Oreochromis niloticus: one gene and its partner. The protein of the gene in region 1 binds, or shares a complex with, the protein of each later gene. Links are inferred from orthologs where the notes say so. Each region holds a gene or a part of one and is shown on either strand. Other genes may lie near its edges.

What was found.
Region 2: the proteins of tent5c (region 1) and bccip are in contact, whole or in part, in a cryo-EM structure (PDB 8EQB), measured with the Homo sapiens proteins. The link is inferred for Oreochromis niloticus from reciprocal best matches to the Homo sapiens genes TENT5C and BCCIP. Residues at the interface, in NP_060179.2 of Homo sapiens: Asp90, Asp92, Glu102, Gln106, Arg109, Lys135, Glu136, Val139, Gln140, Lys141, Leu142, Val143, Lys144, Val145, Cys146, Thr147, Asn164; in NP_510868.1 of Homo sapiens: Val57, Asn58, Ile59, Glu60, Phe61, Glu62, Ala63, Tyr64, Ser65, Arg136, Gln146, Cys153, Lys155, Ala204, Gly205.

What each region holds. Positions count from the first base shown.
Region 1 is NC_031987.2:28,024,149-28,040,813, reverse strand, and holds tent5c (terminal nucleotidyltransferase 5C), read left to right. Parts: upstream 1-8,666; 5' UTR 8,667-8,726; coding exon 8,727-8,788; intron 8,789-8,882; coding exon 8,883-8,969; intron 8,970-9,927; coding exon 9,928-11,101; 3' UTR 11,102-15,158; downstream 15,159-16,665. UniProt on the Homo sapiens protein: Catalyzes the transfer of one adenosine molecule from an ATP to an mRNA poly(A) tail bearing a 3'-OH terminal group and enhances mRNA stability and gene expression.
Region 2 is NC_031973.2:11,321,583-11,338,366, forward strand, and holds bccip (protein BCCIP homolog), read right to left. Parts: upstream 6,551-16,784; 5' UTR 6,420-6,550; coding exon 6,279-6,419; intron 5,996-6,278; coding exon 5,921-5,995; intron 5,834-5,920; coding exon 5,753-5,833; intron 4,938-5,752; coding exon 4,848-4,937; intron 4,738-4,847; coding exon 4,550-4,737; intron 3,950-4,549; coding exon 3,781-3,949; intron 3,569-3,780; coding exon 3,398-3,568; 3' UTR 2,731-3,397; downstream 1-2,730. Other genes in the region: dhx32a (DEAD/H (Asp-Glu-Ala-Asp/His) box polypeptide 32a), read left to right, coding at 181-321, 1,651-1,841, 1,929-2,116, 2,360-2,558; uros (uroporphyrinogen-III synthase), read left to right, coding at 7,287-7,349, 7,436-7,519, 7,608-7,704, 7,840-7,914, 8,781-8,855, 8,962-9,045, 9,176-9,261, 9,340-9,438 and 1 more. UniProt on the Homo sapiens protein: During interphase, required for microtubule organizing and anchoring activities. During mitosis, required for the organization and stabilization of the spindle pole.

The DNA of each region.
Region 1 (16,665 bases):
ACACAATGTACTCGGAACATTAACGCGTTTGTTTAATTGAAGCAGATGTTTCTGCCTGGTCTTTAAAACCCCGGTGACCCCGTGTTAAATTTCAGCTGCACTAATCAATATTGGACATTAACAATGTATCAAGTGACTGCTTGTCATGAAAGCTCTTTAAATGTCCCTTTTTTTCAGCATTGCTGGGCAATAACATTCAACATTTTACATAACCTGTTATGAAACAACTTATTGCTATCATGTTTGTTTTTCTATAAGTCCATAGAGTCTCACTTGTATGTTTAGAGCCTGTCGAATTGCTTAAATCTTTTATAGTAGCATAAAATTTATCACTGCAGTGAAACCAGTTTGTGTGCACTTTGAATCTTCAAGCTGTTAAAGCGAACAACACTGATCAGATCACATGACCACTGGATTCCAGGCAAGGTGAGAGATGACGCGTAAGAGTTATTACAGGAAATCCAGCCTTGGTGCTGTCTTTCACTGCGACCTGGTAATAACACAGAGCGCAGTCTATTTCCTGCATAGCTGTGTCTTTGTGTTACAGAGTATTTGAGGAGTGGTTCTTCAGAGACACATAATGAGTAGCTCAACACGCTGTCATTTCTGTGTTGGTACTTTCCTGTCAGCAGCGGCTAACCACCTAGCTCATCTTCAGTCTTAGTGCCTAGTTATCTTTGTGTCGTCTGTATCCAGACTCCCACTGTCTGTCATTATAGATCCTCAAATTAAACAAAAACATTTCTGGAGTAAACCTCCGGGTGGTTTTCATCTTAAGTAGGTTGTCTGATGAGGATTTGTGTTGTCTGCTTCCACCCCAGTATGGCTAAGGTTAATGGACTTTTAAAGGACTCGGCAACATCTCTTCTAGGTCAGGATAATAACGAGCCTCATCGTGAACTACTTTGTTGTGAGAAAGCCTCAGTGAAACCTGTCGGCACCATCTTCTGTGGACTATAATTGTGATTTTTATCTTTTGAATGAAAGGACTCTCTGCTCTTAAGATGTTCATTTCCACGCTTTAAGCATTACCGTTTTGTGGAAGAGATTCAGGCATTTATAAAGCCCAGTCTACCTGCATGACCCCATACAACCACCTGCCAGTCAGCCCTGTACTGTGTAGTATAGTTGGCTGCTGAAAGTTTGCACAAGCCTTCATTAAAAACCAATTTTTGTATTAAATAAAAAGTAATTTTGTAGATGACAGCGACTGTGACTTTCCATTTACCAGATTCTTGTGCATCCTTCAAATCTAACCGGATGCATATCATGCATATGTGCATGGTCATTATACTCCGCTACAGTGGAAAATAATAATAATCCAACCTTTTGGGTCTTTGGCCTTTACAGTAAATTTACAGTAATAATTTCTACACAAGGTCTGACATTTTTTGATATTTTTAAAACAGTTTTTATTTCCTAAAATGGAAGTGTATGTGCCATCAGTACTGCTCTGATTGTTACACTGCTGAACATGTGGATTTTATTACTCGCAGAATAAGTTTCTATACAGTTTACAAACTGCTCACAAACTGTTACAGTTTTGGGAAGAGTCGCTACAGTATCCTTTTGACAGCTGTGGAAGAGCTGTGCAGTGCGTGCGTGTGTGTGTGTGTGTGTGTGTGTGTGTGTGTGTGTGAGAGAGAGAGAGAGACTGGCCTTCACAGAGACCTGAGATCATTTACAAGCTTCTCCTGTGTAGTTCTTACTTGATCAGTCTCACCCCATAAGACAAGATCTTCCATGGTCATTTTATATTTCTCCCATTTCTGAATGATCGCACCTTCTCACCAAGCTTCTCGCTGATGATCTTGTATCTCATTCCAGTCTTGTGCAGGTCTACAGTATTGTCCCTGATATCCTTTGGCAGCCCTTGAGTCTTCCACATGGTGGTGTTGACGCTGGAATGTAAGAACCTGGTTTGGGACAAGCGTGCTTTATACGATATTTATGAGATAAAGAGTATCTGTAACTGATTAACTGTTAGATTACAATCAATCAATCAATCAATCAATCAATTAGTGTGTCACATGGGCACACAGCCAATCTGTGGGAGCCATAATTCTGGCTGGTTTGTAGGGGACTTTACTCAATGACATATCAATCAATTTATAACTTTTATGTAATGTGTTTTTGTTGTTGTTTTTTTTAATCTTTGGTTGATATTCTGTCTCCATAAATATGAAATTACCACAAGACCTAGAGACTGTTCATTTACAGTATATGTAAATGTATATGTGGCAGTTTAATCCTGTCCAATTTCTCTGAAAGTGAGTGTGTTGATGAGACCATGACCTTATCTTGTGACAGAACTGGAAAAAATGCCTACAGCCAGCTCATGCAGGCTTGAGGAAAGCTGAGACCAGTCACGTTCAAGCTTTCATAGCAAAAATCTAATCTTCACAATTTTAGAGGTGTATTTCTTTAGGTGTGACACCAGCAGAGGCTACTTTTTATTTAGGTAAACTTTTCTGTGCTCTCCAGAATTTAAATCATTATTTACAAAAATGCTTATCTATAAAAGCTAGTTTCTACAATCTAAGAAGCATAGACTGTACACAAAAGATGGCACAACAAGTATGGTGCAGTAAGGACTCTGAAGGGTTCTTCACACTTGTGTGAATGTAAGAGAGAATCAATCACATGGTAACATTAGCTAAGCACTGTGCTAGTAATTAATATATTCATACCATCTATTTATAGTTATAAAAAACTGCAGTTAAAATAAAGATTATCTGATGTTCAGAGTCTTCAGCTTAAGGAAGAGTGTGGTTGGTTGCACCCAGTCACACAACATTTGGTTTTCTTTCCTCATAGCTGAGAAAACACATTAAGTAGCTGCAAGCCAGGTATTATATCAGTGTACTGACCAGACAAGTAGGCAAACAGGTCTACAAAGACATGCAAATAGTACATTACAGACATTCTAGCAGCGTTTGTGTGTGAAAGAACAACTCTGTCGGGTGCGTTTCTGTGCCTTTTGTAACTCTGTAGAGCCTTCACATGGATAAACAACTTGTATAATAGACCAAAGGAAAGGAAAAATGATAGGGGCCCTTTATAGTCACTTGGTGTGTGTTTTCTTTTTAGTACAGTCCTCTGAGAGAACGCCAGAAAGTCCGTTTTTATTGAAGTGCACAAGTTCACTTACATCCATTAACATTCTTCCCTCAATAGATGAACAAACGTTTTGTTACAATACCATGAGTGATCACCTGAAACAAACACTGGCAGTAGCTGCGCGATGAGCAGCTCTGTATGCGTTCAAGCTATCGGCTCACTCATGTCAGCTAAGCTTTAAAGGTCAAAGTTCTGAACACACCCAGACTACTCACCAGCCGCCTGAGGCCTTGTGGTTTCATCAGGGACAGACAATTCTGCATGACGTCAGGACCAAAACTGTAGGCAGACACACAGTGTAGCAGATCTTTGACTGACACATAGATAACTGACATATACTATATATGCAAATCATTTGATAAGGAGTCCTTTATTGTTTTATTTGTTTTTACTATTTTCAAAGATGAGAAAGAAACTGAAAATATAGTCTTATAACTATTTCTAAACCATACCAAAACAGTGTAAAGGTGCTTCAGTTACCAATAAGGCATATGATCAAATGTTATCTTACTGATTAACTGAAAAAATTTCCAGGATCCGATTAATTTGAGTCTAATAATTTGTTGATGAGCAGAATGGAGTAAAAAAAACCACACAAATGGTAGCACTTTATATGACTTCCCCCGGTGTACTTCCCCCTGAAATTAAATGGAATTTCAGTGTATTTTATTTGAATTTATAACTTAATTATATTTATTTACACATACTTAGAGGTAGGTACCCTAGAGTAAGGGGAATACATCAGGTTTTACAGGAAAAAAGAAATAGTTATACTGTCAGTAAGTTTAAATGCTTAGTAATAAATCGTGATTTGTTAGGCAAGAAAATAATCCACTCCAAAATTGGACCTGTGCCCCAAAAAGTACAGCATATTTACACAAGATATGGAAATATTGTTTGTTTTTCTGGAAAATTATCAGGAAATTACACATTAATTAAAATTACCTATGTCGTATTTAACATTGCATAGAGTCTAATTTTTGTCTCCTTTCCAGCACAATACACAGAAATCAGGCACTATTTGCGATTACTTTCCCACTACTTAAAACTACTTACAATGTAATTATTTCTTCTTTCCTGTAACATACAACTTCTTGTGCCCTACTTAATATTACTTTTACAGTACTTGAAATTGCTTATGTAATAAATTGTATCTTCCAGTTAAATACCCAAAGTCGTTAAATATTTAGAATTACTCACTTTCACACTACTTAAAATTACATACAGGTTTTTTTTTCATGTAAAAACCCAAATTGTTACCTCCCTATTGTACTGTAACTACCTGTAAGTATGTGTAGGTAAATACATTGTAACTTTAAATAAAATAGAGTGAAATTCAATTTAACCCTTTCATGCATGAATTATGACAACCTCAATCAGGAATTTTTTCTTAATTATTCACTTCATTTTCTTTAAACATGCATTATTCAAAGAGTTATTTACAAGTCCACTTAGGTGGACAACATACATTTTGACTTATGAATTTGGTATGGAGTGACACATCAGTGTCCATTGTAGTGGTTTATGTGCAAGTATACCATCAACACTGACACAAATACAAGAAAACAGGCTTTGAATAGCTGTCCACAGAAGTGACCACTATGCGTGAAAGGTTTAATTACAGGAGAAATACACCCTTAGTTGCAAGCGGTATTATAAAGTGTTACCAACACAGTATTGAGTTATTTATTCTTTCATTTATTATTGTATTAAACATATTCTTATTACTCTTTTTTTCAAGTAGTGTGACTGTTTGTTTGTCTCTATACACCAGGTTCAACAGTGCTTCCAAATGTTTTGTATGCTTGTGCTTACATAACAATAAGGGTCGTCTTATCTTATCTTATCTTATCTTAACTTATATTATCACATCTTATCTTATCTTATCCTGTCTTATCCTATCTTATCTTATCTTATCTTATCTTATCTTATAAAGTTAAATTCAAACCCAAGTGATTCTGAGACATTATCTTGTGTTCTTGAAAATTCATAGGGTTGTTTTTTAAACATTTTCTTTTTTACAAACACTGATAACCAACATTATAGCTGCAGCCTGTCAGTTTTACTGCCCAATTGCCCCAAAACAAGTTCCTTTTTCATCTATGTGATCTTTGTGATCATCACATAAAATGGGAAAGTAACCCCCCCATCCTTATCAGCTTACAGTCTTCCCTTTGTTCGCTTAAATGAAACATCATTTAAAAAAAACTGTATTAAAGTGAAATCTGAAAATGACATCAAAGTTTCTGTCATCACAAGTTAGAATTAAGAAAAAAGTCTTAAATGAGAAGCTAAGGCAGGCAGGAGGAGGGAATCCCCTTGCTGATCGGCTAGTTTCCTATCAGTGTTCCTGATGCTGACTCACTGACGCTGGTGTACAGCCTGGCTCCCTTAGGGGCTCCACGCTACCCACAATCCACAACCACGCAGCTGACACAGCTTAAGCTTCACACTGCTGATCGGTGGTTTCATCTCACCTCCCGGTCTTATCATCGTGGACGACACAGAGGAAAGGAAATGGTTCTTACTCGTGAAACCGAATCTTAAGTCACCTATTCCCTGACTCATTCACTGATGTGTTTGTGTGTAAGGGTGAGCAATGTGGAAGGGGATTCATTTTTGACACGAGGAAAATAAATCTCACATCAGTTTAGAACTTTTTTTATATAATGATGTTGAATGGGGATGTAATTAGTTTTGTATACTGCACTTTTCACTTTGTTCAGTTTGCAATTTTCTCCCTTTTTTGTCATGGATTTTGCTGCGATTCCTTAATAAATTGCTTTATTTTTTGTCTTTAAGTCTGTTCATTTTTATGTGTTCTCATTCAGGATACAGTTGTCTTTTCAGTCCTCTCACAGCGTCAGGGGGATTCTGCAGTTTATTTCTAAAGAATCATTAACAATAATTCATCTTTGAGAGTGAGCGAAAAGCTTTCTTGTGAATACTTAGCATGAAATTCTTGTGAGGTTTCTTCCACAGAAATCTATGAGGTAGGTTCAGCAGCTGGCGAAAATATCTACCAGACACTACATAGTCCGAAGAACTGTGTCGTGCCAGTGTGTTTCAGTGGATAGTACTTTGTCTATATAAAACAGGCTTGTCTTCAGGGGGTTAGTGGTTTGATTGCTGTCTTTTAAATGGTGGCTGTGTGTGTCTCCCAGGCAGTGGGTTATGTGGAGGCGTGTGCGTGACAGCCAACTTCGTATCTCATATTTCGAACTTTGAATGCTTACAGAACAGCTTTTTGGAAGTGTATGTAACTGTGTGGGAGGGGATTCATTTTTGAAATCCCACATCAGTTTAGAAGTTTTATTTATAATGATGTTGAATGGGGATGTCATTAGTTTTGTATACTGTACTTTTCACTTTGTTCGGTTTGCAATTTTTTCACTTTTTTTTGTTATTGATTTTGCTGCAAATCCTTAATAAATTCAGACTCAATCAGAATCAGAACACTTTAATAGTCCCTAAGGAAATTATGTAATTGTTTCATTTTGTTCTTTAAGTCTGTTCATTATTATGTGTTCTCATTCAGAATACACTGGTCTTTTCAATCCTGTCACAGCATCAGGGGGATTCTGCAGGTTCTTTCTAAAGAATCATTAACAATAATTCATCTTTGAGAGAGAGAGAAAACCTTTCTTGGGGATACTTAGCATGCAGATGTGGTGATTATCAATGTAGGTGTGATCTAAAGAGGATTTTTAAGTTTGTGTTCGGGTGAAATTCTAGTGAGGTTTCTTCCATAGAAATCTATGAGGTAGGTTCAGCAGCTGGGGAAAGTATCGGCCAGCATTGCTTCCTGTATAACTTCCTGTATTGCTGTTAACAGTTAGTAGAAGGCCAAGTATTTTGGCCACTTATCTATTAAACAACACACTTTTCTTCAAGACATACAGAAGATTAACTGTACTCAGCCACTGCAACTGACCACTGGTTACTGTTTGACAGATTTAGACATATATTTGTTCTGGTGTAAGATGATCAGACTAAGCCCATGAAATTTGTGAATTGATTGGTCACTAGTAATTGCAGAAGAGGATTTGAACTAGACTGATGGAAAAATCATTGATCAGTATGCTTTTTTTGTTTTATTTTGTTTTTTTGTTTTTTAAATCTTTCTGAATATGTTGTTAGTCAGAGGCAGCTTTTAGTTCATGAGGATCACCAATCTAAATCCAAGGCAGGACCCTTCTGTGACCCTCCCTGTGCTTGTGCGGGTTTATAGGAGCTCCAGTTTACTCCACTATCATGAACCATGGCAAGCTAATGCTAACTGATTCAGCTCAGGACAGTCTTGCAGAAGAGATTCCTAATATTAAGAGTCTGGTTTCCTGGTGAAAGATTATTAAGAAAAAAAAATCAAATACCCTCTAATTCAGAACAAGATTAAGAGTTTTCGTTTAAGCATTTTTACAGAGATTTAAGGACTTTGAGACTGCTTTTGTTTGACCTCTGAGTTGTATTCTATTACTCAGATACAGGGGTATTTCCAGGATTATTAATTTATGAATTTATTGATTTAAGTGGAGAAGAAGAATAAGGCTGGGGGTGTCCACAGGAACTTGGAATATCTAATGAGGAATAAATAGATTGTGAAAAACACTAGGCACAATTTTCTGGTTTCAGTGGAGCCCTATGTCATCATAGAGGTGGTGTTACATGAAAAGTGACACTAAGAAGTCCTTAAAGATAGTTTTGTTTAAATGACTATTTAGTGAAATTGGTGAAATTAGTATTTAGGCCTTTTATTTAAGTAATAGAACAAGTGTTTTAAGCTCAAACGATACTTACAGCTGAAGGAGATTTTAATTAGTTACAAACTGATAGGTAGTTTTATAATATTAACAATAAAAAATAATAAGTCACTGGAGGTTTAAAGATTATGGACTACAAAGTGCAATAATTGCACATAAAATAGAGTGGAGTGGAAGTACAAAGGTGTAAAAATAAAGTATAAGTACATTTACCCTGTACTTCAGCGACTACATATCCATATTCTAGCTCATTCAATGGCTTTGAGAATAGCTGCATTCTTAGTACTTTTATCAAATGTCAGTGGTGATAATTACTTTTTTTTTTTTAAACAAACGGTTAAGTACTAGCAATGCAATATTATACGCAGGACAAATATTTTGGGTCAGATTTACTGTGAAAACACACATACACATAAATGGTAATAATTAACAGCAGCTATCTCTGATACATAGATGGTAGTTTTAGCTTCCCTGTTTTAAATAAATATGTATCCATATATATGAATCTTTTTTTCTGAAGTAACACAAATTATGAGTGGAATTTATTATGACAGTCGAAATATCAGCAAATATCAGCAAAGTGAAATGAAATGAAATTATGAAATCTTTGCCTACCAACAGTTAAATGCTACTCTTAAACTAGACGCTCCTGGTTACTTGGCAACGCATAAACCTCATTGGCCAATCAGATACTTAGCTAGGCGCATTGGTACAATCTGACGCGGCCATTCTAAGATTATGTGATCTGCAGACGATGAAAACTAAGTTTTTTGGTAAATATTTAAAGTTAGTATTTTATTTTAACTATCCTCGCTGTATTGCTCACATTGTACTTTCTAAGTGTAAATGGCAAACTACATAGTCCGAGGAACTGTGTCGTGCCACGGCGGTGCATGTGTTTCGGAAAGGTAGTACTTCGGCTATATAACAGGCGTGTCTTCAGTGGCTTTGGTGGTTCAAACGCTGTCTTTTAAACGGCGACTGTGTCTCTCTCTCGGGCAGTGGATTATGTGGAGGCGTGTGCGTGACAGCCAACTTTACATCTCACATTTCGGGCTTTGAATGCTTACAGAACAGCCTTTTGGAAGTGTATGTATCTTTTAACACCCTCTTCAGTTTCTTACGCAAATCTGTGTTTTATTTTCGTAGTTGGGGAAAATAGTGCGTTTGATAAGTATGAATTGCTAAATTTAAAGTTTGCCGTGCTGTAGCCACGGTTCAAAAACGTGTCGCCGGTTGCGCTATTTTAACGTGAGACGTAGATACCTAAAAGTGTGTTGCTTGAGGATATTCCAACTTTGCATAACCGCTGAATTTACAAAGGGTTTTATGACCATATGGCTCGACACTAAGTTAACCGTAATACTATCTTGCTAGTGTAGTGATAAAGCATTCTTATCGTCAGTTTCAGAGCAGAGTTTGGTACGCGTTTTAAATGCTGTTAGCACTGAGCCTTATTTGCTGTACATAGAGTAAAAGTTGGTTTTGACCTCCGCACGGCTAAATTGACAAGTCAGCTGGAATAAATAACTGTTGTTTAAAATTTTGCCCAACGTGTGTCGCGGCGACTTTTGTCGCTCCACGTAGTGGTGAATAACTAGTAGTAGTACCGGTTGTTTATTCGGGAGACCCCCGGCTTTACTGGACTTGAAGCTAGCTCGGTGTTTGTCTCTCAGCGGTTCTGGAATAAAAGGCAGGCTTGCGCAGTGAGCTGTTCTAGAAACCTCACGGGCTCTGTCCTTTTACTGTGTGTCGCGTGCAGGTTGTCTCATGCTCGCGCTCTCCTGTGCTCGTGCTGAACGCTCCTGTTGCTGCTCCTGTTTCACGGCAAGAAAATGGTTCTTAATTACATTTAACTGCGTCCCCCCCCCCCCTTTTTAGACACACATTACTACAGCTAGACCAAATTTGGTAAAATTAAGAAACAGTAATTTTGTTTCTTTTAAAGAATATTGGCTAATATTGTCACATGGTAGACTTTATTTGGTATGTGTCACACTTGAGGGCTGTCACTAACATTTTTGTTTTTTCTGTCCTGCCTCCTTAGTCAATCTAAACTTTTTGAGAAGATGGATAACAAGGAGGTATCAAACAGTTGTCCCTTCAGCGACTTGACTTGGGAGCAGGTGAGCCGGCTCAATGAAGTTCTGACTGAGGTCGTGCCCATTCATGGACGGGGGCACTTTCCTACTTTGGAGGTGCAGCTGAATGATATTGTGGCTCGGGTGCGCTCCCGCCTTGAGCTCAGCGGCATTAAGGTGAAGGACGTACGGCTTAATGGCTCCACAGCCAGCCATGTGCTGGTGCAAGATATTGGCTGGAGCTACAAGGACCTGGACGTTATCTTCAGGGTGGACTTGCCACACGAGGCTGAGTTCAAGCTCATCAAGGATGTTGTGCTTGGTACCCTGCTGGACTTCCTGCCTGAGGGTGTGAACAAAGAGAAAATTACACCAATGACCCTCAAAGAGGCCTACGTGCAGAAGCTTGTCAAGGTGAACACAGAGCAGGACCGCTGGAGCCTCATCTCCCTCTCCAACAATAATGGCCGTAATGTGGAGCTGAAGTTTGTGGACTCAATACGTCGGCAGTTTGAGTTCAGTGTCGACTCTTTTCAGATTGTGCTGGACTCCATGCTCTCCTTCTATGAGGTGGAGCAGGCGCCCATGTCAGAGGCCTTTCACCCCACTGTTAGTGGGGAAAGCATGTATGGAGACTTCAACACTGCGCTGAGCCACCTGCGAAACAAGCTCATTGCCACCAAGCGGCCTGAGGAGATCCGAGGCGGTGGCCTGCTGAAGTACTGCAACCTGTTGGTGAGGGACTTCCAGCCCGCCAGCGAGGAGGAATTCAAGGGCCTGGAGCGATATATGTGCTCACGCTTCTTCATTGACTTTCCTGACATAGGAGAGCAGCAGCGTAAGGTGGAATCCTACCTCCAGAGCCACTTTGTTGGCGAGGAGAAGAGCAAGTACGACTACCTCACGATTCTCCGGCGAGTGGTTAACGAGAGCACGGTGTGCCTCATGGGTCACGAGCGGCGGCAGACCCTCCACCTCATCTCGCTGATGGCCCTCCAAGTCCTGGCGGAGCAGAACGCGATCCCCGACGCGTCCTGCGTCACCTGCTATTACCAGCCAGCGCCTTACGTCCGAGACCACAACTTCAGCAACTACTATGTGGCCAACCAGAACATTCCAACATGGCTGCCGTGTAACTGACGAGACAAACAACTTGGGATGAGCAAGATGGCGTCGCTACTGCTGCTGCATTTGAGAAGAGAAGGAATGAATTTAAAAAAAAAAAAAAAAAAAAAAAAAACATTAAAAAAAAATGTTGGGCAATAAATAATTTGTTCCTCTCAAGGCACAATTATATTTAAGTGGACAAGCGTTTTGCTTTTGTTTTCTCATTCCTTTACGACAGAGGTGTCTAGGTCATTGAATCGAAAGTGATATTTTTAAGTGTTTCGAATTTTTTTTTTTTTTTTTTTTTTTTTCTCTCCTCATGTTTGGTTGTTTCACTGTTTATCAATCCCATTCTTAATGGAGTTGCATTTTGTGCCTTAACCTCCAAGTTTACCCCATCAGTAATTTAAGTATGGGCTGTGATTTGGAGAAGGGAAAGAGGAGCTAATGCCGTAGCCTTACATTTGGTTTTCATCTTGATTTAAAAAAAAGAAAAAGGTTAGGAAAAAAAAGTTGGAAAAAATGCATAAAATATTGAAAAATAGTATTATTGTATTATTGGGGAAAGAGTAATAATAGCTGACTGCCAAAAAAGGGGAAAAAAAAAAAAAAAGCTCATCACCGGTGTTAAAGTTTACTGTGGAGGGAGAAAAGGTGGTACACTAATATCCTGTCAGAAATCAGTGGGAAGCGAGGAGTCGATTTGTTTTAATTCATTTTGACATGTAAATATTTCTGAGACATTTGTGCCAGCGGTGCCTGTGATTTGTAAATGATGCAAACGAGGAAAAAAAAAATGTATATTTTTTTTTTTTTATCTTTCCACTGTGAATTTCAACATAGGATTGGATTGGCTCCCCTCCCTCCCCCCCTTTACCTTGTTTCCTCAGCCTTGTACCTTTCAGTCGAGACTGGCTTCGAGTGGAACTCTCAGACAGTGTAGGCCTCAAATACGTGACCTCACTGCTTTCCCTGTTGTTTTTTTTTTTTTTTTTTTAAGTCTGAAAGCCTTGCCATTGACCTCCACATGCCATGGCCCCTGGGTTATTGTGGGAGGCAAATGGACAGGACTGAGCCTGGTAGGGGGTTTAGAGAATGTGCTTGGCTGGGAGTCCCAGAGTGACAGGCTAGTTGTCTCTTCCCTTAAAAGGAGCAGCACATGGAGGGGCCCGAAGGGTTGTCCCTCACAGCTACTGCATGCTCGACAGCAGCCCTGAAATGGGAGCCACCTCTGACGCAGCTCGGTGCCTCTCCAATTACTCTTCGTCTATAATTATCATCTTTCTCTTTTTTTGTGCTGGGGTTAGCTACCATTGAAGCAGGGAGCTGGAGCTTGGTTGTGTGATCTGCAGCAGCCCTGCCACCTTACATATGTGGCAGCTGAATCACTTCCTGTCCTCCTCATCTGTCGCCTGATGGGACACGGAGCGTTTTGAACCCCTTTTGTGGTCATGGGGAGGGCAGACCACATGCCTGCTAGTGGGATACCATTCCCCCTTTCAGACCTGGAATTCCATCAATGTGGAAGCTACGCCCAAAACTGCAGCAGAGATGAAGTCGCCGCTCCAAACCAATGAATTTCTATTTGTAGCCAAGCCTAATATTAGCTGTTAATTTTTGAACACCTGAACACACTAATGACCTAAGCTGGGAGTATTTCTGGCCACCACTGCTCCTGTTGGTTTTCCTGACATCACAGCAGCCAAGTTTGAGAGCGTTTCCTCATGAACTTGTTCTCCCAAATGGCCTTAGTTTCTCAGAAGTTCGTCTCCCTGTATTGCTGCTGCTGATCTCACTGTGGCTTGTGTTGGTGCGAGATAACCGCAGACCTCTTATCTGGTTGGCTCACAATGTCAGGGTTGATGGAACAATTGAGGGAGATCAGTTTGGTCTGGCTGCAGGTCACATTTGAGGGGCAGGTTGTGCTGTGTCAGCTTAGCTGCAGCGTGTTTTTGTATTTCCCTTTTTTTTTTTTTTTTTTTTTTTTTAATTTCTTTTAAGAACATGCTCTTGGACCAAAAGTCTGCTTTACAACCAGCAACTGAAGCACTCAAGTGCCTGTCACTCTGTGGAGAGTTGATCTTTTTAAAAGGTTTTTTTTAATGGTGGTCATAAAGGGGGAAAGGTTAGCAAAAGTTTTCTTTCAGCCTGTGAAGCTTTGATATAAAACTGTCTGTATTAGATACAAGTTTATAAGGTGAATGCACATATTTTTGGTTGAGGAGCAAACTACTTTTGGTTTGACTTTAAAATTTGAGGGGTTTTTTCCTATTAAGATTATTTTTCTTTAACATTAGTTTGTCCCAAACTTTATTTTTCCTTAAAATCTGCAGTCATTCCCATGGCAGCCATCTGAGTCCTCTTCATTTTACACTTTTTTTTTTTTTTTTCCCCCCTGTATATTTACACCTTTCAACTTAATCTGCCCAGCATTTGCCCAGCACTGTATTCTCTGAAACAGCTGGGCTAATTCAGTTTGACTGTTCTGTTCCCCATCCGAAGCAAGAAATACTGCACTGACGAGCTGTACGGTGGCACGGTAGCTGGAGGTCAGAGTAAAGACCCCCTCCCACACTGGTGGAACACTTTAAAGAGGCCTTGGTCAGTTGCTGTGAGAGCCGTGCTGGTCCTCAGGGACTGCATGTTTTTGAAGACCGTTTTGTCCCCTTTTTTTTTTTTTTTTTTTTTTTTTAAATTTAAGAGAGAGCAAATTGGTTTAATCTGCCCTTGATTCTGAGATGCCCCCTCCTACCTCTCTTCATTTTTCGTCTTTCCTTTGTTGTAATCCTGACTCTCCCTCTGCTCACCCTTACTACAGGCTCTTCCTAGAAGAGGTGGAGGTAGGCTGCAGACTTCAGCTCGTTACACCCCGACAGCAGCCCAGCTTTTTATCTTTACACCCATTCGCTCCAAAATGTTATTGTTACTCAGAGGCTCTCCTAGGTTTGTGCCAAAAGCTGTATTTTAGTGGTGTTCTCCTAACCCTGAGAGGTCTTCTTTGAGAGCTCGGGGACAGAACATCGACTCTGAGGCTAAAATCCCTTTTCCTAGTGGATTATAGTCTTTGAAGTAATGATGAGGCTTGGAGCCACGTGCAGAACCAGCTGCTGCTCACAGTTGGAGTTTGAAGCCTGCTGTGTGGTGAAAACCAGCCTCTTCTTAGGCCTTTTGTTGATGTCGCTCACTAACAGCCGTTAAGAGCGAGGTCAAAGAGAGTGCGAGCAAATTTGCATTTTCCTAGAAAGTTGATAGCAGTCTGGAATGCTAGTCCAGTGCCCTTTTTTTTTTTTTTTTTTTTTTTTTTTCTTTCTCTCCCTCCCCAATCCTCCTTTGCCCCACCCTGCTTTCACATGTTTACGGTTATTGTGGCTCTCTGATGACTATGCCCGAGCTTTTGCGGGGCTTGTGTCTAACCCTTTCCTTTACTGGGCTGATGTATGTCTGAACTCTGTGAACGGAAAGGGAATATTGTAGTTTGCCTTTATTTTCTGGCCACTTTTTTCTGCTGTAAACTTGCCAGTGTTTCTCTCTCGCACCACCTTGAGTTGGCTCACATGTTTGGGCTGCTGTTAATTGATACAGCAAATGTCTTTTTCCCCCCTTATGACACCTGTAGCTGTATCCTTTGCTAGAGGGGAGATGCAGATGAGATATTTAGTGGTTATGCTTGTATAAAGTGCAAGTCTTATGCCATAGGAATGTGATAGAAGCTGTCCTACAGTTTTTGTATGACGATTTATTTTGTTTGCAGCAGAAACAGATGTGTGTTTACGTTAACATGTGGAGGAGCGTGTGTTCGTTTGCGCGTGTGTGAAGGGATGCCTGTGGTAACACAAGTTGAATGGGGGAAAAAAAAAGTGGGGAAAATATGAACTATGTCGCACTATATATATATTTTTGGAAATAGTTGATGCAGAAGAGCTTTTTTGTCAGCTTCGTGATTGTGACTCTGATGGTTACAACCATTAAACTATTTCATTTTTCAGCACTTTTACCTCACTTGAGTTTTTTTCCTTGGAATGGAAATGTACATGTACATCAGGAAAATGTGTTTGAAGAAGAAATAATGAATAAAGAGTATTCGATGCAATATGTCCCTCATTTGTTTGTTGCTTGAAAGCTTGCATGTAAAACTGACAATGTTTTTGCATGACAGTCAAGTTATTTGTACTTAATAGTTTAGCAGAAGTTTACTTTACCTAATGTGACTAAAAGAAATTTTGGAAGCAAGACTAGAAATGTGGAGAAATACGAGCTTGAGTTAATAACTTTGACTAAAGAACTGAGGCAGTCCTTTATTGTGAACCTGCTGTTGTGCTCTATAAACTTTAGTCTGTAAACTTTAAATTTCCTTTCTTTATACGATAGCAATAAAGCATCACGTCATGGGGGGATTATGGTAGTGTAAAATGACTCAGCAAAACACATTATAGCAGCTTGAACAAATGCAGGCATGAAGCAAAGTTCATGACAATACGTTAGAGTTCACAGCAGGAATACACTAGAAAATATGACGGGGTTTCAAAAGTTGACCTGAAACTGACATTTAAACTGAAGTTTTAAGTACAAGCACAGTAAATGATCCTGAGTTTGTCATTTTACAGTAGAGATCATTACATAACCTAGCCCCCCCCCCATGCAGAAAGTTAAAAATTACAATTTCAAATCTGCTTTGTGTAGCCATAACTTTATCCTTTTATCAATTATTTTTATTTTGATTAAATCAGAGATGGGTTATTTCAGTATTCCAGTGTTGAGCAACTTGAAAGAAGCGTTTTTTTTTTTGTTTTGTTTTTTTTTCCCCCTACTAAGAAAACAGAATGGTGGTGAAAGCACTTCTGATAATTTTGAGGCTCAACTCCTGCTGCAGATCCACACTTTAGGTCTTTGTGATATTTGGGCCAGTTCTCCTCAGCAGATTATTAGATTAGACTTGTGGTGACGGCAATGCCAGCTCAGTCCGGATTCTCTCAGAAGAGGACATACTGTAAAACAAGAAGGAACCACACCCTGCTCAGTGGTGAACGGGCCACTGTCGAACAACTGATGCCATTGTGTTTGACCAATCCTCTGAGATTATCATATACATTTGTCTATAATTAGCCTCTTGTAACATCCATCTTCTCTTACAGTTCCTAGAAGGTTCTTCCCTTGAACCTTTACCTGAACCGCTGATTGCTGCCACCTTTACTTCACTTTGTCAGGTAATTACAGAGATTAGAACCAGGTGCTAGATTAGCACCATCAACTGTGAAAGTATCTAAGGTGTTCTTTAATTTGGATCAGTGTTTTTATATTAAAAAATGTATGGGTTTTTTTCATAAAGAAAAGTATGTCCTCACATGGGGACATTGGATTTATTTTACAGGATGACACAATAAGGTTACAACTGCTTAATAACGTTTAAAACATGTTATTGAGCAGAATGAAGCATGATCAGCAGAAATGTCAAAATGTAGTGTCCCACCGTGAGGACGCAGGGTCTCAGGAGGATGTAAAGGAGATTTAGGAAAATGTAAGGTAGATCCTTTGTGTATGTTTGTTTGGGGACAGAGGTCCAGCATCCAAAAAACGTGTGCATTTGCAAAGTGGGATCT
Region 2 (16,784 bases), on another chromosome or scaffold:
ACGTACGTTTTACATTTTTCCACTCCAGAATTTAAGATTAGTTCCAAGTGAGGATCCTTTGACTGGTTTGTAGAATCACCAGGTGGACAGCGTAGTATTGGCTCATCTGCAGTTTCTGATGCTCTTTGGTGAGAGTGGTTTCTCTCAGTGAAGTCGACCTTATTTGTTGTTGTGTTTTAGCACCAAGCTGCTTTGTGGAGCCGCCTGCTGCCATGAGCCACGAAGCAGTCCAGTGTCACAGAAAGTTCCAGCACCCTGAAGGAGATCACTTCACCCTCATAAACATCTACAATGCCTACAAACAAAACCAGAGGGAACAATGTAAGACAGTCATTGAACAGAACCAACCTATTCTCTTCAAGAGATAAGATATACTCTCATCAGCCACTTCATTATTTATACATTGGTGCTTTATTTCTTTGTAGCATTGATTCAACAAGGTGCTGGAAACATTCCTCTGTCATGTTCAGGGAGCAGGTTTAAGATGATTTCAGCTTTATTTATTTGACCATTATCCTGCTGGAAGCAGCCAGGATAATGAGCCAGTACAGTGTGGCCATAAAGGGATAGACACGGTGAGCAATAATACTCAAGTAGGCCGTGGCAGTTAAATGATGCTTGATTGGTTATAAGGGGCGGAGAGTGTGCTAAGAAAATATCCCTTAGACCAGCAGCCTGGACTGTTGATGCAGGGGAGGATGAATTAATGCATTCGTGGTGTTTACAGCATCCAAATGTCAGAGCAGAAACCAAAGCTTAACAGACCAGGCAACATTCCTAGTCTTCCATTGTCCAATTTTGTTGAGCCTGTGCAAATTGTAGCAATCTGGTGTGGTCTTCTGCTGCTTCAAAGTTCAACATTTGTGCATTCAGAGATGATCTTCTGCATACCTTGGTTGAATCAAGTGCGTATATGAGTTACTGTTGCTTTTGTATCAGGTTGAAACAGTGTGCCCCTCACTTGTTATTACTTTTTTTTGGCCATTCTTTGTAAACCCTAGAAATTGTTGTGTGGAAAAATCCCAGTTTTGGCAAAATCAGCATTTTCTGAGATATTCAGGTATAACAACCATACTACATTCAAAGTCACTTTCTTCCCCATTCTGATGCTCACTTCAAACTTCAGCTAGGTCAACTTGACAATGCCTAAGTGCCTAAATGCATCGTGCTGTTGCCATGTGATTTGATAAATTAAGGTATTTGCATCAATGAGCAGGTGGTGAAACAGGTGTACCTAATGAAATGACTGGTGACTTGATCTTTGTTCTCTACTGTGGTAAATTAAAACTAGATTCAAAGCCTGTGTTATACTATGGGACAGATGTTACATTTCAGTTTCACGAAGAATTATAACCAGATGGATACGAATAAACTATTCTATTCTAAAAATTGACGCAAAAAACAGTTAAAAGAACACTTGGCTAAATGAACATTTCAACTCTTTAGATTCTGAGAGGCAAACTGCTTGAAATTTTAGTAAATCATATTACGGTACTCTTGAATTAATTACCTCCACATTGTCATTTTCCCCACTCCATCTGATCTGTTTAAAAGGCATTAGGAATTAAACTGTTTTTACTGTGATAGAAACTTCACGTAAATACTGCTGACCACAGCGCTTCTCTCACTGTGCATGATGTTTTCTCCCAGACTTGACTACTGAAAAGTGGTGCCAGGACTATTTTCTAAATCATTCTGCCTTGAGGACAGCTGATTCCATTAGATCAGAGTTGACTGACACACTGAACAGAATTGAGCTCCCAATTTCTGAACCCTCCTTTGGAACCAAGACTAACACTCACAACATCAAAAGAGCTCTGCTGGCTGGATTCTTCATGCAGGTACAGAAAAACAAAATGTCAGTATTAATGAATTTGCCTCCAGCAATTCAATTGTGTTCAAGTTTACGAGGTCTGTTCTTTTCCCAGATTGCTCGAGATGTGGACGGATCAGGCAACTACTTCATTCTTGCACACAAGCACATGGCCCAGGTGCACCCACACTCCTGCTACGGGGCTCAGTCGCACAAGCTGGGACTGCCTGAGTGGGTTGTTTTCAATGAGTACATCCTTTCAGAAAACTGCATGAGAATAGTCTCGGAAATTTCCCCGCAAGTGTAAGTCGATTCCTTTTTTTCCCCAAATCCCCATCAGAACAGTTGTGTACAGATCAGAACTGAGGTCTCATGGATTAATTCTCTTGTAGTGCAGTGGTAGAACAAACATGTTTATTACTGCAGTAAGCATGAGCCATTTGATCTCATTTTAATTTGAATATTTTTAATCTCTTTATCTACACAATATCTTGTGTTGACACAAATGTTTTATATTTAATATTGGTTTTCAAATTTCTCTTTTAGGTTCATTGAAATTGCACCACTGTACTTCTTCTACAATCTGCCCCCTAGCGAAAGCAAAGATATACTGCAAGACATGTTGGGCCCAGAGGGATCCAAAAACCACAAAGAGAAGAAACAGCAAGCTGCAACAATAAGTGGTGACGTAAACGGTGGCTGTGCAGCAGTGACACAGACGTATGACAGATGTATGATTCAGTAAACTGAAAATCACAAATTTAGACTGCAAATGCATCAATGCTTGTAAGACATTTGTATAATTAATACAGTAAAGCTTAATTTGTTACATTAAATTACTCATGTGTATTACCCAATGTTCTTACAGTGCTGAGAAGGCAAAGATGTCTGTGCTGTAAATATAGAAAAGTTTGCAGTTTAATAGTTGTGATCTAAAAACAATATGAGTGAGGGGGTTTCTGCAACACTGCTTAGGTGTGGACTTTATCCGTACATGATGCAGATGCACACTGTCATTTGATATACTTAACAAGCAAAAAAAAAAATGTTCAAGCGAAAAGTAATTTGTCTCCTATGTACTTCCCTATTATGCATAGTTGTCATAAATGCCAGTATACCTTCACATTCTTTTGTATATCCAAGGATCTGATTTTAAAGCTAAAATACGTATGAAACAACTTGCTCAGAATAACTGCTTTGCCCATTTATCTAAGAATGTTCCCTGTTTATGTTGACAATTCAGGACATTTATTAAAACATGTGACATCAAGGAAAGTCTGGGGATGAAATGTGCAGCTGAATGTTAAAAACCAAGGATTTTGAAGTGTTCCTAACACCTCTGATATGCAGTTGCATGAAGTTTCTTCCAGTATTCAAGTATGTGATTATTCCCTATGTCTTTACAATTTGTACAAACTGTCTTTAAAATTTCTAAAACTGGGTAAACCATCGCCCTACATGTTCTAAATATGAATACGTGCATTCCTAAAACAAACTGTACAAAAATTGAAGAATATATTGAATGATTTTCAGAAGCCTGAAAGCTGTCACTGTGTCCATAGGTGTCTTGGTTTATTGTGAAGGTCACACTGATAGATATTCTTTGAGTTTCTCCATGATGGCTGGCATTCTGTCTGTGGGTATCAGCATCACAGTCCTGAAAGGCTTCATGGGCACGTCCGTAAATGACCACCTCCCACTTAAACAGGAGTCTGCCTCTTCTTGGACTGTGTAGTGGAACTTCAAGATGGCTTGCTGTAAGGAAAACACGGACCAGGCTTGAAATCAGAGTATAAATATATTGAATAGCTTATCAGATGGCTGTTTAAATGAATATTTATCTGAAGTTTGACATGAGCTAACGAACTGCTGTATTTTTACCCAGATACTGTTAAGTAAGTAGCCCCGTGTATAATAAATATTTAGTTAAAACCTTGAACTTTGTGCAGATTTCTTTCCGACTTTACCTCATAAAAGAATTCCTCCTCTGCATTAACAAACATGTATTCCTCTTTGGGAGCTCCTCCTGTGGCTGGGATGCTCTTGGTCTCTTCTCTACAGGTCTTGCTGATAATCAGGCAGTAGTGGCACCTCCCACTGGGCTTATTTGTCCTCTGAGCGTCAGCGATTTCTTCCCTAAAGGACCGTAACATGAAAATCTTTTAACCACACACATGGATGTTTTTCTAGTTTCTATTAAAAAAATAAATAAAACAGAATGGAATAGTTTCCAAATCTCACCAACAATTTTTATTAATAGAACACAAAACATCAAATGTTTCATAAAATATTAGCTCATTTTGAATTTGATGACAGCAGCATGTATTAAAAAGTTGGGATAAGAGCAACAGAAAGGTGGAAAAGTAAGTGGTATTAAAAAGAAAAAGCTGGAATAATTTGTAGCCAATTAGGTTAACTGGTAAATATCAGTTCCCAGATGTTCAACACTTGTTAAGAGGGGATCCTACACTATTGTAAACATGGCCCTGTCCCAACATTTTTAAGATGTGTTGCTGCTAATATATTTCATGCAATACTAAAAGGTCTCAGTTTAAATATTTGATATCTTTCATACATTCTACTGTGAATAAAATGCTGATTTATAAGATTTGCAAAGTATTGCACTTGTTCCGTCTTATTTCAGTGTTTTCAAACACCATCCTGACCATGTTCTACCTGCTCTCACAACAATAACAAAACACTAAAGATGGAATAAGAAGGTAAAGCAGAACTTACTGGAGCTGTTTGTGCAGTGGAAGGGCAATCTGTGGAGGCACATTGATGAAGCGCTCACTTAGCAGCAGCCCCACAGGCTTGCTGTTATCATTAAAGATCTTCTCCAGCTGTTCTGTCACAATATGAGAAGCATTCTTCTCACACTGATCCACAATCAGCTCCTTCACCTCCTCCACACATTGTACACCCTATGAACAGTACAAGACGTGAGTATGAAAATTTATATTAAAAAAAACAAAACACTGACATATTCCAGCCCATTCAAGACTAATTAGTTTTAGTTTGCTAGTCATCTGACCTTTCTCTCTGTGAGGTTTAGCATGGTGATGAAGCCAAACACTTCATCTGGGTCGTCGTCATCGTCGCTGTCTTCGGGCGCCTCAGCTTGCTGGAGCATAGTGGAGAGACGAGTAAATAAACAGCTGCTCAGAAATGAATGTGAATGAGCATGAATGTCAATCTTGGGTTTTAAATGATTTTTTTTGTCCGTTCCTTTTCCTGGTGGAATGATTGCACAACATACATCTTTTAAAAAAGAAAACACTTGGGTGCACACATTTGAATTTATTCCAGCCTAATGTTGCCATCCACTTTGTACAATGTAGCAATGCTGTTAGCAGCAAAGCAGCTCCAGAGCATCATGCTACCACCACCATGTTTGAAAGTATAGTGTTCTTAGGTTCAAAGGATTCTCTGTGGACAGTGAATTATTGCTGGTGTTCCAGCAGTTTCCAGTTCACAGCTTGAACTTTGGTGGTTTCTGAGTTGTTCCTGAACATCCAAACCAACTCTCAAAACAACTCATCTGAGGGTGACAGTTTAGGTCTTTGTCCAGATCTTGGCAAAGTTGTCCCACATTCGAATAACTGCTGAGTATTGCTGTTAAAGATAAACTACCAGTTGTAGTAAATAATGATTACAAATAAGATAAATAGGCCTTGGCCTCATCAAGTCAAGACACTGTATAACCTTCAGCACCACTAATCAAAATATTTAAATAAATGTATGTATATATTTGAGCCTTTTGGTTCCTCGTGTTTGCTTTTGATCCCATTTGGATTAATAAAACGCCAAAAGAAATTCAAACATGTACTCCCAAATGCTGTTTTTTAAGTCATTAAGATGTGTGCAGTATGCATTGTTTGCATTAAGATGAAGTTCAAAGAAATCACTGAAAGCCCAAATTATCATGACATCTCTCACCTTGATGACACTTCCAACATGATTTTGTTGGATGATGATGTGTGTCATCTCTGATGTATCCACATGAGCTTTTAAGAAAAGCTGTATCCAAACATAACAGAAATGACGTCAGTGACACCTGCTTACACACAGTATTTGAAACGTGAAATAACAATACTAAACCCAAACCTGCTGCAGCAGCTTCTTTATGCCGTTGAAGTCATTGTCTGAGATGGTGTGAGCTTCAAAGTCTACAACGACCTCCTGAAAGCGTAGAAGTCGTAATTGCAAGTTTTATTGTAACCCATACTCTGATTAGTTGTGCGAAACTTTCCGATATTAGTTTCACAGGGTTAACTTATTACAGCGTATTCAAGTACAGTATCTTCGAAATAACATATTCTAGTATATTAGTTATTTATTTTCTCACATGATTAACCAAAAAAATATTTTCATGAGCCTTTCTGTTCACATTAGCCCTACTGCTGACTTAGCTAACTAGTTAGCAAGGCCATGCCTCCCTTCTAAGACGTGTTTGTTCTTTTACCTCATTAATTTCCTCATCTGACGCCTCACTGTCCTCTTCTCCGGAATCGTCTTCCTCCTCTGGATTCTCATCGGAGCTGTTGTCACTTTCCTCGGGTTTTTCACCAAAACCTACTGCCCTTTTCTTAGCCAATGAAGCCATGCTGCAAACTTAAAACACACGTGTCTACTAAGTGGGCGGGGCAAAGACTAGCAACTGTCAGCTACGAAACTGAAACCCTGAAGCCGCCATTATGGCTCCACATATACACGGCTTGCCGCTTATTAAATCCACATTCAGAGCTTCAATGTCGGCTTGTTGCCCGTTGGTGAAATGGAATAAACCATTCTATAAAACGGGGACGAAAATAAATTCACATGCCCCCGAACCCTTTGTCACATGTAGTAGATATTAATTTAAATTATTGAAACTATATTTTTAAATTAAATAAACACATTCTTGTAATACTACTTGTAATACGATTATTTTACAAGGTTAGTCAATTAGACAGTGTTCTGTCTCCCCTCCTCGACCGTGGATGATGAAAGTCTGAATGAACACTCCAGGTACATAAATTTTGCCTAATATTTCGTCTTTTTCACCGTTTGTACTTCGTGTCACTGTAGCTATACGCGGATAAAATATTCGCTTCTATCACACATTATCACAGACAGGTTCTGTTAATTGCTACCGTAGATAGTCTGTCATGCACCGTGTCTTGCTAGGGTAAACAAGAACACTCTTACGGAAGAAGACACTTCACATACACTTTTAACTAAAATGGCCCATTCGCTTAATTTATTCGCTGTTCATGCACAGTCTTATGATCGTGACTCAACAACAGTCTTATCAGCATGTGACCGTTTTAGGGTGTAACGTTGCTTAAAATGCATTCACACCCAATGTCCTCAGTGTTTTTGTAGCTTAAGCCTCTGACTTTGACATTATTGCAGACCTTAGTAAACCTATTTTACCTTGGTTTGTTCGGAATTAACCATCTTTGTTATTTTAATAATCCAGTGTTTCAAGATGCGTGTATTGCTGCTTAAAGAACCAAAAGATGGAGAGTCTGGATCTGATCCCTATATTAAGGTACACGCCCTTTACAGTTAAATCAACTAACTTAAACCAGTTTCTTAAAATTTGTCAGTATAACCGTTATTATTTTCACTTCGAAGGAGCTGGAATCACGCGGACATAAAGGAACCCTACTTCCGGTGCTGTCTTTTAAGTTTGTATCATTAAACACTTTGTCAGATAAGGTAAATTGTTGTTCCATTGTCCATTCATTAATCCGTTCATTTTAACAGTTTGCATATTCAGTGGATTCATGTATTTTGCTTATTCCAGCTTTTCCAACCAGAGAAATATGGTGGGCTCATATTTACCAGTCCAAGAGCAGTGGAGGCTGTAAGGATGTGTTTGGAAGCGGATGAAAGAAGGGAAGGTGATAAACATTACTTTTCTCGAAGCTGCTGTATATCATTGATAGAAATGACTTTTTTTGGTAAAAACCTTAAAAAAACAAGTCAAGTTTCTGTAGTACATTTCTGTAATGCCCAGTGTATGTTGTGCTATTGAGAATGGGACAAAGCAGCGAAAGACAAGTGGAACACCAAGTCCATCTATGTGGTTGGGAAGGCCACTGCTTCATTAGGTGAGTCACATCTATGGACAAAGGTAATTTCTCCCAAAATCCTCCTTTGTGTCTTGAGCTCCTTGTAAACTCGTGCTAATTGCACCAGAGTGTGTCGGGCACCTGGTGCTCATAGTGATGTGTGAAATGCTTTGTCTACCTTCAGCCATTTGTTATACACAAGTGACAGTTTGCCGTTAGTGATTGTTCAGTGTCTTTACAAAACAAGCAGGTGCAACACTTTCTACATGTGTGCTTTAGCTTCTTCTTTTCAGTAACATTTCACAGTGGGTTTTTATTTTGAGTCTCTCAGTGAGCTTCTAATTTAGTTATTGAATTAGTTGAAGTGAATGAATGTGTTTTCTCTGCCACGCTCTTATGTCAGTATTTAGCAGACTGTGCAAAAGTATTGAGCCACCCTCATTTCTTTGTATTTTACTTCCAAGGACCCAGACGTCCTTGTAATTTTTCAAAGTGCTCTTGAGTTACTCCTCCAGGCTTTCAGAAGGTCTTTCAAATTTGTCTTCTGACATTTGCTGGTTTTTCCACTTATTTTCAATCCAGGCTTTGTACTGTGCCATTTTCAGAGGAATGCGGTTTGGTTGTTAAGCCACTTAACACTGGCCTATGAATGCATCAAGTATAAAAAAAAAAAATGCACCCAAGTCAAGGAATGAACAATTGTTGTGTCTACACATAGCAGACAACTTAGAAAAGACTAGAACGTAATGTCTTTTGTTTAGTGTTTTCTGCTTTTAAAAACCTTGCTGCACCTATTTCCCATTTTCTAGCAAAATATAAAGAAATGTGGGGTGGCTCAAGAATTTACCACATTACTGTATAGCTTATCATTTTTTTTTCCTTTTCATGATTTTTATCCCATACAGTACAGAATCTAGGTCTGAACCCTTTGGGAGAGGACACCGGGACAGCGGAGGTCCTATCACGACTTATTATTGAACGTACGGCGTAACTGTGGAGTCTCACATTCCTCACAGTTTAATTTTAATAGTAATTTTATGATTGCTCTTATTACTCATATGATCTCACGTATAATTCCCGTCATAGGAGAGGCCACCAATATCCCACCACTTTTTTTCCCCTGTGGCTCAATCAAAAGGGAAGTCTTGCCCACGGCTTTAAGGGAAAATGGTAAGCATTCCCCCTGTTGTGCCTGACAATTAAAACTCAAGGTGATAAAATTCCCATTGGGATTATTCTAATTATAAAATAATAATTGCACTATCTTTATCACTGTTGGGATCTGTTTCTTTGTTTCCAGGAGTGCCCCTAGAGACACTAACTGTCTATCAAACAGCAGAACATCCCGATCTGGAGAAAAATCTAAAGAACTATTTCACAGAGCAGGTAAAGTGTCATTCTTATTGCTTTTATTTATTTATTTGTTTCAGTATAGCAGCTGTTCATTTGTTTGTATGCTTATAGGGCATCCCAGCAAGCATAGCTTTCTTCAGTCCATCAGGAGTGAAGTTTTGCCTTGAAGTGGTGCGGAGGCTCTCGGCTGAACAGCTGACTCAAATAAAGGTACATCTTCCTCACAGTCATACACAAATAGATTTAAATAATGCATGAATCTGAAGTGCTTAACAGAGCTTTACTCACGTAAGTGTCTTTGTTTCCAGTTTGCAGCCATAGGGCCTACTACACAACATGCAATAGCAGCAGAAGGCCTTTGTGTCAGCTGCACTGCAGAAAAGCCAACAGCTGAACACCTGGCGATAGCGATAGCTAAAACTCTGCAGTGACCAGCTTTTAAAATCCACCTGCCTCATCTTTGGTGTTTGTTGTTATTATATATGTAAATACGTACTGTTATTTGTGTGTTTTACTGCTTTACTGCCCATCTTTATTGTTGTTGGACATATGATTCTGCTATTTTTGCACTGAGAAAAAGTTATTTTTTGCAGCACCAGAGCCAGGAAAGTCTAAGATAAAATTATAATTTGCTTTATATGATGTAAGAAAATGACTGAGAAAATAAAAGCCAATCATTTTGATAATATTGAAGATTTTGTCTGTGGTTATTGCTTGTGTGTTTCTGTGTGTTTATTTCCTGTCCAACACAGTGCTTGCAGGGGTCATCCCTGTCTTTTACTGTCCACATGAATGTGAAGGTTTTAACATCTTTCCACGGATCAGCTGCAGTCCATTTAAAACCACTGAAGCATGTATAACATAACCACAGAGTAAGAGTCAAATTGAGCAGTCGTAGATTGTAAAAGATGAGTTTACTTTTCACGCAGAGGTGAAGAAAGCAGGTTACTGTAGAGTCACACCTCTGGAGGGGTGTGGAGAAGCTAAGGATTTGCTTATAAAGCAGCGTTGCTCCTCACTTGTCATCATCTCATCTTGCATATAGACCCAGGAGTAAACCGCTAAAGGCCACGATGCTGAATTTAATCCAGCTGATATTTATGCTCTTTTTGACCAACATTAGCACAACTGATGCAGAGAAACTTTTCCATAATCGGGATCATTCTGATACGCAGACCCTTAATTCTCACCGAGCTCAGGCTATAACAGACAAGTACACAGCTGAGGTATATTGTTTTTTCTTCTTTTTTGACTACCTGTGTTTCTCAAACTTCAGCATCCATTTAACCAGACAGGGGATTTGTCTAATGTAACCCGTGTCTTGTTTTAGTTATTTCTCTCTAGATATGGATTCATCAAGCCAGTTAACTGGGAGGAGGTTCAGTTTGAGGATTCAGATGCCTCTTTCAGCGGTGACTTCCTCGACGATCTTCAAGCCACAATCCAAGAGGGAACCTCAGCGTCTTACTCGAGAGCTGCTCATCGAGCTGGTGATCAGCAGGGCTATAACCGTCAAAATGAGAACCAAGCCTTTATTTCAGCACTTAAAGAGTTTCAGAGGGTTTCAGGTCTGCCTGTTACAGGGGTGTTTGATGAGGCCACCAAGTTAGCAATGAACAAACCAAGGTGTGGAGTCCCTGATAAAGAGACTGTTCTGACCAGCCCTGTCATCACTACAGAACCTGAGAGCAGTGGTGACTTTGATTTTGAAAACAGTACCACTGACAGTTTTACTGAGACCAACAGGAACAACACAGCAAGTGACATAATCAGTGGCACTTCTTTAGGTACTGCAAATTTCTCTGAAGACGACATATTAAATTTTAATGATGCAGACGGTGTGCTCACAGCCATTTCCAATGACACCAGCATGAATTATACAACAGAGCTTTTTAAAGATCACTTCTCCAAACAGCTCGCACGACAGCAGACTGGGCAGCCAAATGGGGAATTTCAGTGAGAACGCGCATCAGAGTGAAGCAGTGAGACGCAAGAAGGAACATCTCGCAAGTCTCATATCCAAAAGCAGGCGGAAGAGAGATTTGACTCCAACTGGCCACATGGCTTTTTTTCAAGAAGGTGTTAAACTGGAGGCTGATAGGAGAAGGCTACAGCAGCCAGCTGACTATTGAAGACCAGAGGTACATCTTCAGACTGGCTTTCAGGATGTGGAGTGAGGTGTCGCCACTGGAATTTGTGGAGGATACACATGCCCCATTGGAGGATGTTGACATCAGGCTGGGATTTGGTACAGGTGGGTTTTAGTCAATATTTATGAGCTTCACTGCAGCATGAAAGCTACTTTTGGCTGCTCCTTTATTCACAGTGGCCACAGCAGGTAGCTCCGCATGTTTGGTTTGGCAGAGCTTTATGCCAGATGCCCTTCCTGACACAACCCCAAAAGGATTTGTGTCTTCTCCTGAGATCACACTGGGGATCTTTCCCTTGTTAGGTGGATGTGTGAACCACTATTATTATGAATAAAATGTGGAATGGTTAGATTTGACCCTTCACATCACTAGTCTATGAAGGTTAATTTCTCATTTCAGGATAAAAAAGTTAAAGAATGTTATCTCCTTGGCCACATATATGTTTAAGACTAATAAAGCATCTGTTAATGAGGTTCATTAAACACAAAAACTCCCAGCAATGTTAAAGGTAAATGTAAACCACGACCAGTCTTCTTAGATTGGAAATATTTTCCTCGGGAGGGTCATTTATATGTATGTCTGCAGAGGATCATTAATGTTTCCACTGTACCTCCTTTTTGTGCCAAATAACATACTGCATCGTTGTGAAATTCTTTCATAGGAAGGCATCTGGGATGTAATCAGAAGTTCGATGGCACTGGTCAAGAATTTGCCCATGCTTGGTTCCTGGGTGATATACACTTTGATGATGATGAGCACTTCACAACTCCCAATGTTGGCAGTGGAATCAGCCTTCTCAAAGTAATTATATTCCTGCACGATCAAAGGAACTGCCAGGTTTATATAATTCCAGTGATTAACAACGCATTGCTCTAACAACGCCTTAAATATATTAAACCTGTTTAGGTAGCAGTTCATGAGATTGGCCATGTTTTGGGTCTACCCCACATATATAGACCCGGATCCATAATGCAGCCCAGCTATCTACCCCAGGAGTCCACCTTTGAAATGGACTGGATGGACAGAAAAGCTATACAGCAACTCTATGGTACATGGTTACAGCACCATCTAGTGGTTACTTATACACTCTTGGAGAAATGCATTTTGCTGTATTTTTGCCCTAATTGACTAATGCAAATTTTTTTCCCCTGTTGTGCTTGCATTTGACACCAGGAGGCTGTAAAGGCCGGTTCAACACGGTGTTTGATTGGATCAGAAAGGAGAAGACACCCTATGGGGAGGTGGTGATCCGCTTTAACACCTATTTCATGAGAGATGGGTGGTACTGGCTGTATGAGAACAGAAATAATAGAACACGTTATGGTGATCCAGTTCCGCTGCAAACTGGCTGGCATGGGATCCCCATGGATGGAGTGGATGCACATGTCCATGTCTGGTCCAGGAAAAGAGATGCTGTATATTTCTTCAGAGGTACACTAAGTGGAGAGTTATACTGTTTGAAAGGAGTTAGTGAACAAATTGATACTTTGTGAAAATGTAATTAACTTATTTATCTACAGGTACTCAGTTCTGGAGGTATGATAGTGAGAACGACCAGGTGTTTGGACAAGACTCTGAAGGTCACCAGTATCCGAAGTTAATCTCTGAAGGATTCCCAGGGGTGCCAAGTCCTATTGACACAGCCTTTTATGACAGGAGGGACTCCCACATCTACTTCTTTAAAAACAATCTTGTAAGTGCAATATTACCCAGCTGTCAGATATTATTACACTGATATAAGAGCAAAGACATGAGGTTCAGTAAGAAAGTAAATTAGGAAATATTCATGAAGTGCTTAAATGACAAGCTGGAATGATGTGGTTCGATATTAAAACACACCGACCATTATACATATTTAAACTTAAAACGTGGCTTAGACTTAACGGTCATTAATCAAACTGTTTCCATCTGTGATTTGCAATCTAGCAATGCCGATTAGTAGAACATGCAGATATAAAAAGCAAAGTCCTGGAGAAAACCCAAGCTAATTAATTGTTTCTTAGGATTATGAGGGAATGTCTTCAAGCAAACAAATGCACTAAAGTTCCTCTGTGAATTGTTTGCATTGTATAATTGAATTGATTTCTGCATAACAAAAAAAAAGAGCAATTATCTCTTTGAACAGGTGTATGCATTCAGCGTGGAAGCCAACAACTTGGCAAGAGGGTTCCCAAAAAACATCAGAGATGTTTTCCCTCCTGTGGTGAACACAGACCATCCAGATGGCAACATTGACGCTGCCTACTTCTCCTACACTCACAATGCCATCTTTCTTCTCAAGGGCATACGCTTCTGGCAAGTAGTGGGCAGTCGTGATCGCTGGCGACGGCCCTTTCTGCCACGAAATGGCCTGCTGCCACATAAGGAGGTGGATCAGCATTGGTTTGATATCTGCAATGTTCATCCCACTGCACTCAAACTAACCCGCTGAGAGTGTTGCAGCAGAGATGCGATAGAGCTTGCTAAAGTTTGCATATGTGATCTACTGATTTAATTTTATGTTCACATATTGTCAAGCTGCAATGATGACTGTCTAATTTCTAGAAGACAACAACAATTTTGAATTTTGTTGGCTAATTTTCACCGAGGTGTGTTATTTATACATGTAACAGCTGCTCTTTCATTCCTTTTCTCTTTTTCGGAGCAGTGCTGAATGCATTCTGGCACAAAAACAATCCTAAAGGACTTCCTATTATTAAGATATTCAGAGAATGAGTGATAATTTGTTTATTGGATACTTATTCATTAAACGGACATGTTGTTTCGCTCACAGATACAGTATGTATAATGTAGATGAAGCTAATAAATGTTTTGCTGAGCTGCTCAAAATGATATTTGATGTGCTGAAGTGCACTGTGTAGAAAAATGCTTTCAAATGGCAAATGTGCAAAGAAACATTAAAACAGGCTTGTGCGTACTGTGAAGTGACTTCTTATGTCACATGTAATCTTAAGAAAACCTCTAAAAAGATTTGTGGTATTATGAGTGTATAAAAATAGAATTTTGCTCATAGTGGAAGAGCTGGTTTCTGGGTAAACTTATAGATTGAAAGCATCTTTCTTTTGACGTAATTGTATTGAAAAAAAAGACATAAATTTTGTATCCTCGGATTGTTTCTTTTTGGCACAGTATGTGCCTGGAAGGGATACAACATTATTCTCTCAACTTAGATTGATGATCGAGGTGTAGATATACAGTACTAGTCCCTATTGGCACGACTGGATGATTTGATAATTCTATATTTGTACGAAACTCTCAATTCCTGTAAATCATACTTGTAGAAATCCACATCTGCCTGTAGGCATGAAAGAAAGAACGAAAGAAGTGACCTGGAAGCCGGGAAACTTTCTCTTTATTAAAAACCCTTAAAAGTTAAGAGCAACTCTTCCACTACAATAGGGTTTTGGGCTGAGGGAATCAGATAACCCCTATCAATAACAACCTGGAGGTGGTGGAAAACAACTATCGAGACATCATATTTTCGAATGCCCTCTCATTATGAAAGACTTACACACTATCAATCAAAAGAGAGCCTTTTGAAATGCGCGCTGAAGTAAAACGATTGAACGAGGTGCCATAATGCTGTTATATTTTATAATGATGATTTGAGCATGATGCAAAGAAACAGGCATTGATTCTGTAATCAATATGTTACTTGAAGACGCTTATTAATTCAGCTCATCTTAAGAGATTAGGCTCCTGGTGGGCCCCAGATAACTAGCATTGTGCTGCAGGCGCTCTATAGGCTATATTAATAAATTAAAGTAGAAATCAATTACAAGCAAAGGAACAAAATGTCGCGGTAAGTGGAGCTACATAGAGGGTTATCATGGGTTGATGAGTCTACTCACACAGCTATAGAAGGAGCTTCTCTGTCTGCTCATACCTCTGCTTGTTTTTTGAGCTAATATTTTGTTTTTTTCTTGTAAGATTAAAGAGATTTCTGTGATTTAACAGGATTAGGCAACATTTTAGTGATTATTATAAACACGAGCTTCATATTAAAAATGCAAACTTAAAGAAAATTAGAAAATATTATTTATTAAAATACTATATTGTAATATTAACAGTCAAGAGAAATAACTTACATATAGCCAAGGTATTTTTGTTTGAATAAAATCAGCTTTTATTCTGCAGATCTTAGCATAAAATATTGACACAGGAATATTGAATTCAGTACATAAGATGATGCAGTGCAGTGCAGCCATTTGATCTGTTTGTTTATCCCATTATGAGGCACCGTACACCTCCTCCATCCTGGAATTTCACATGCAGCAAAATCCTAAATACAAACTGTTATTCATGCATTCATATGGTCCCCAGCAGCTCACTGATCTGTGCTTTTGCACTGATGGTACTGCCGTTGAAACTCCCTTCCCTACACCTCGGGCCTCTTTGAATGCGACTATGATAAATGAGATCAGTCATGCTGATGAAGCTGCAGCAGCCCCAGAGAAATACAAAAACCTGTGTCGTTGCAATTCACATGGGAGGCACTTTAGAAACTGGAGAATGGGATGAAACTCCTGCAGCACATTCATATACCGAAAATCCCCAAACTCTTCCAAGACATGAAAATAACTTTGAATACTGTTGCCTTATTTATATGTCTCCAAGGGATTTTTCTTTCTTAAAACATGGAAATAAATGATTTCTGGTGTTATTTCAAATGAGGATCATACAATTATGTGTTTTTGCATTTGTCAAGGGATTAGTTCAACAAGCTGCTGCATGTAGGTAGTGCGTTGCATTTAAATGTAGAGATTTTTGTCTGTGAGTGTTATCCTTTTAAAGATATCCTTGCTGTCCCGTGTCTGGGGCTGAATTAATAATGAGTGCAGGAGTTTTATCACTTTTAGTGTGTTCATAGAAAAATAACATAATGTCACATCTTGTTGGAGGGAATGATAAATACAGTCTCTTTAAAAATGGGCTTTATATTAATTCACCCAAAAATCTTTCATGTCCAATCCACCATCTTCCCTTGTAGAACAAAAGGCTCACCAAGTGGTAGCCTGACTAGAAAAATGAATGATAAAGTATTGATTGTTGTCATGGACCTTTTGAGCTTTTGTATAGTATTTTGTTATGTTTGCACCCAAGTTACTTCCCATTTTACCTTTTGAGTTTCCCTGTTTTATGTGTCTTACTTTCTGTTTTACATCCCGTATCATTATTTATGGATTTAGCTCACCTGCCTCTTGTTCCCCAGCTGTTTCCATTCTCCCTTATTACCCTTAAGTGTATTCATAGCCCTGCCCTTCCCTTCAATCCTTTGTCAGAGTGCCTGTTTACCTTCTGTTGTGTGTGCGCTTCGTGCCTTCTTTGGAATCTATGAGCTTTAGTCTTATCTGCCTAACCTTACAGTACCTAATACCGTTGGATGATAGCTAAGTACTAACTGAG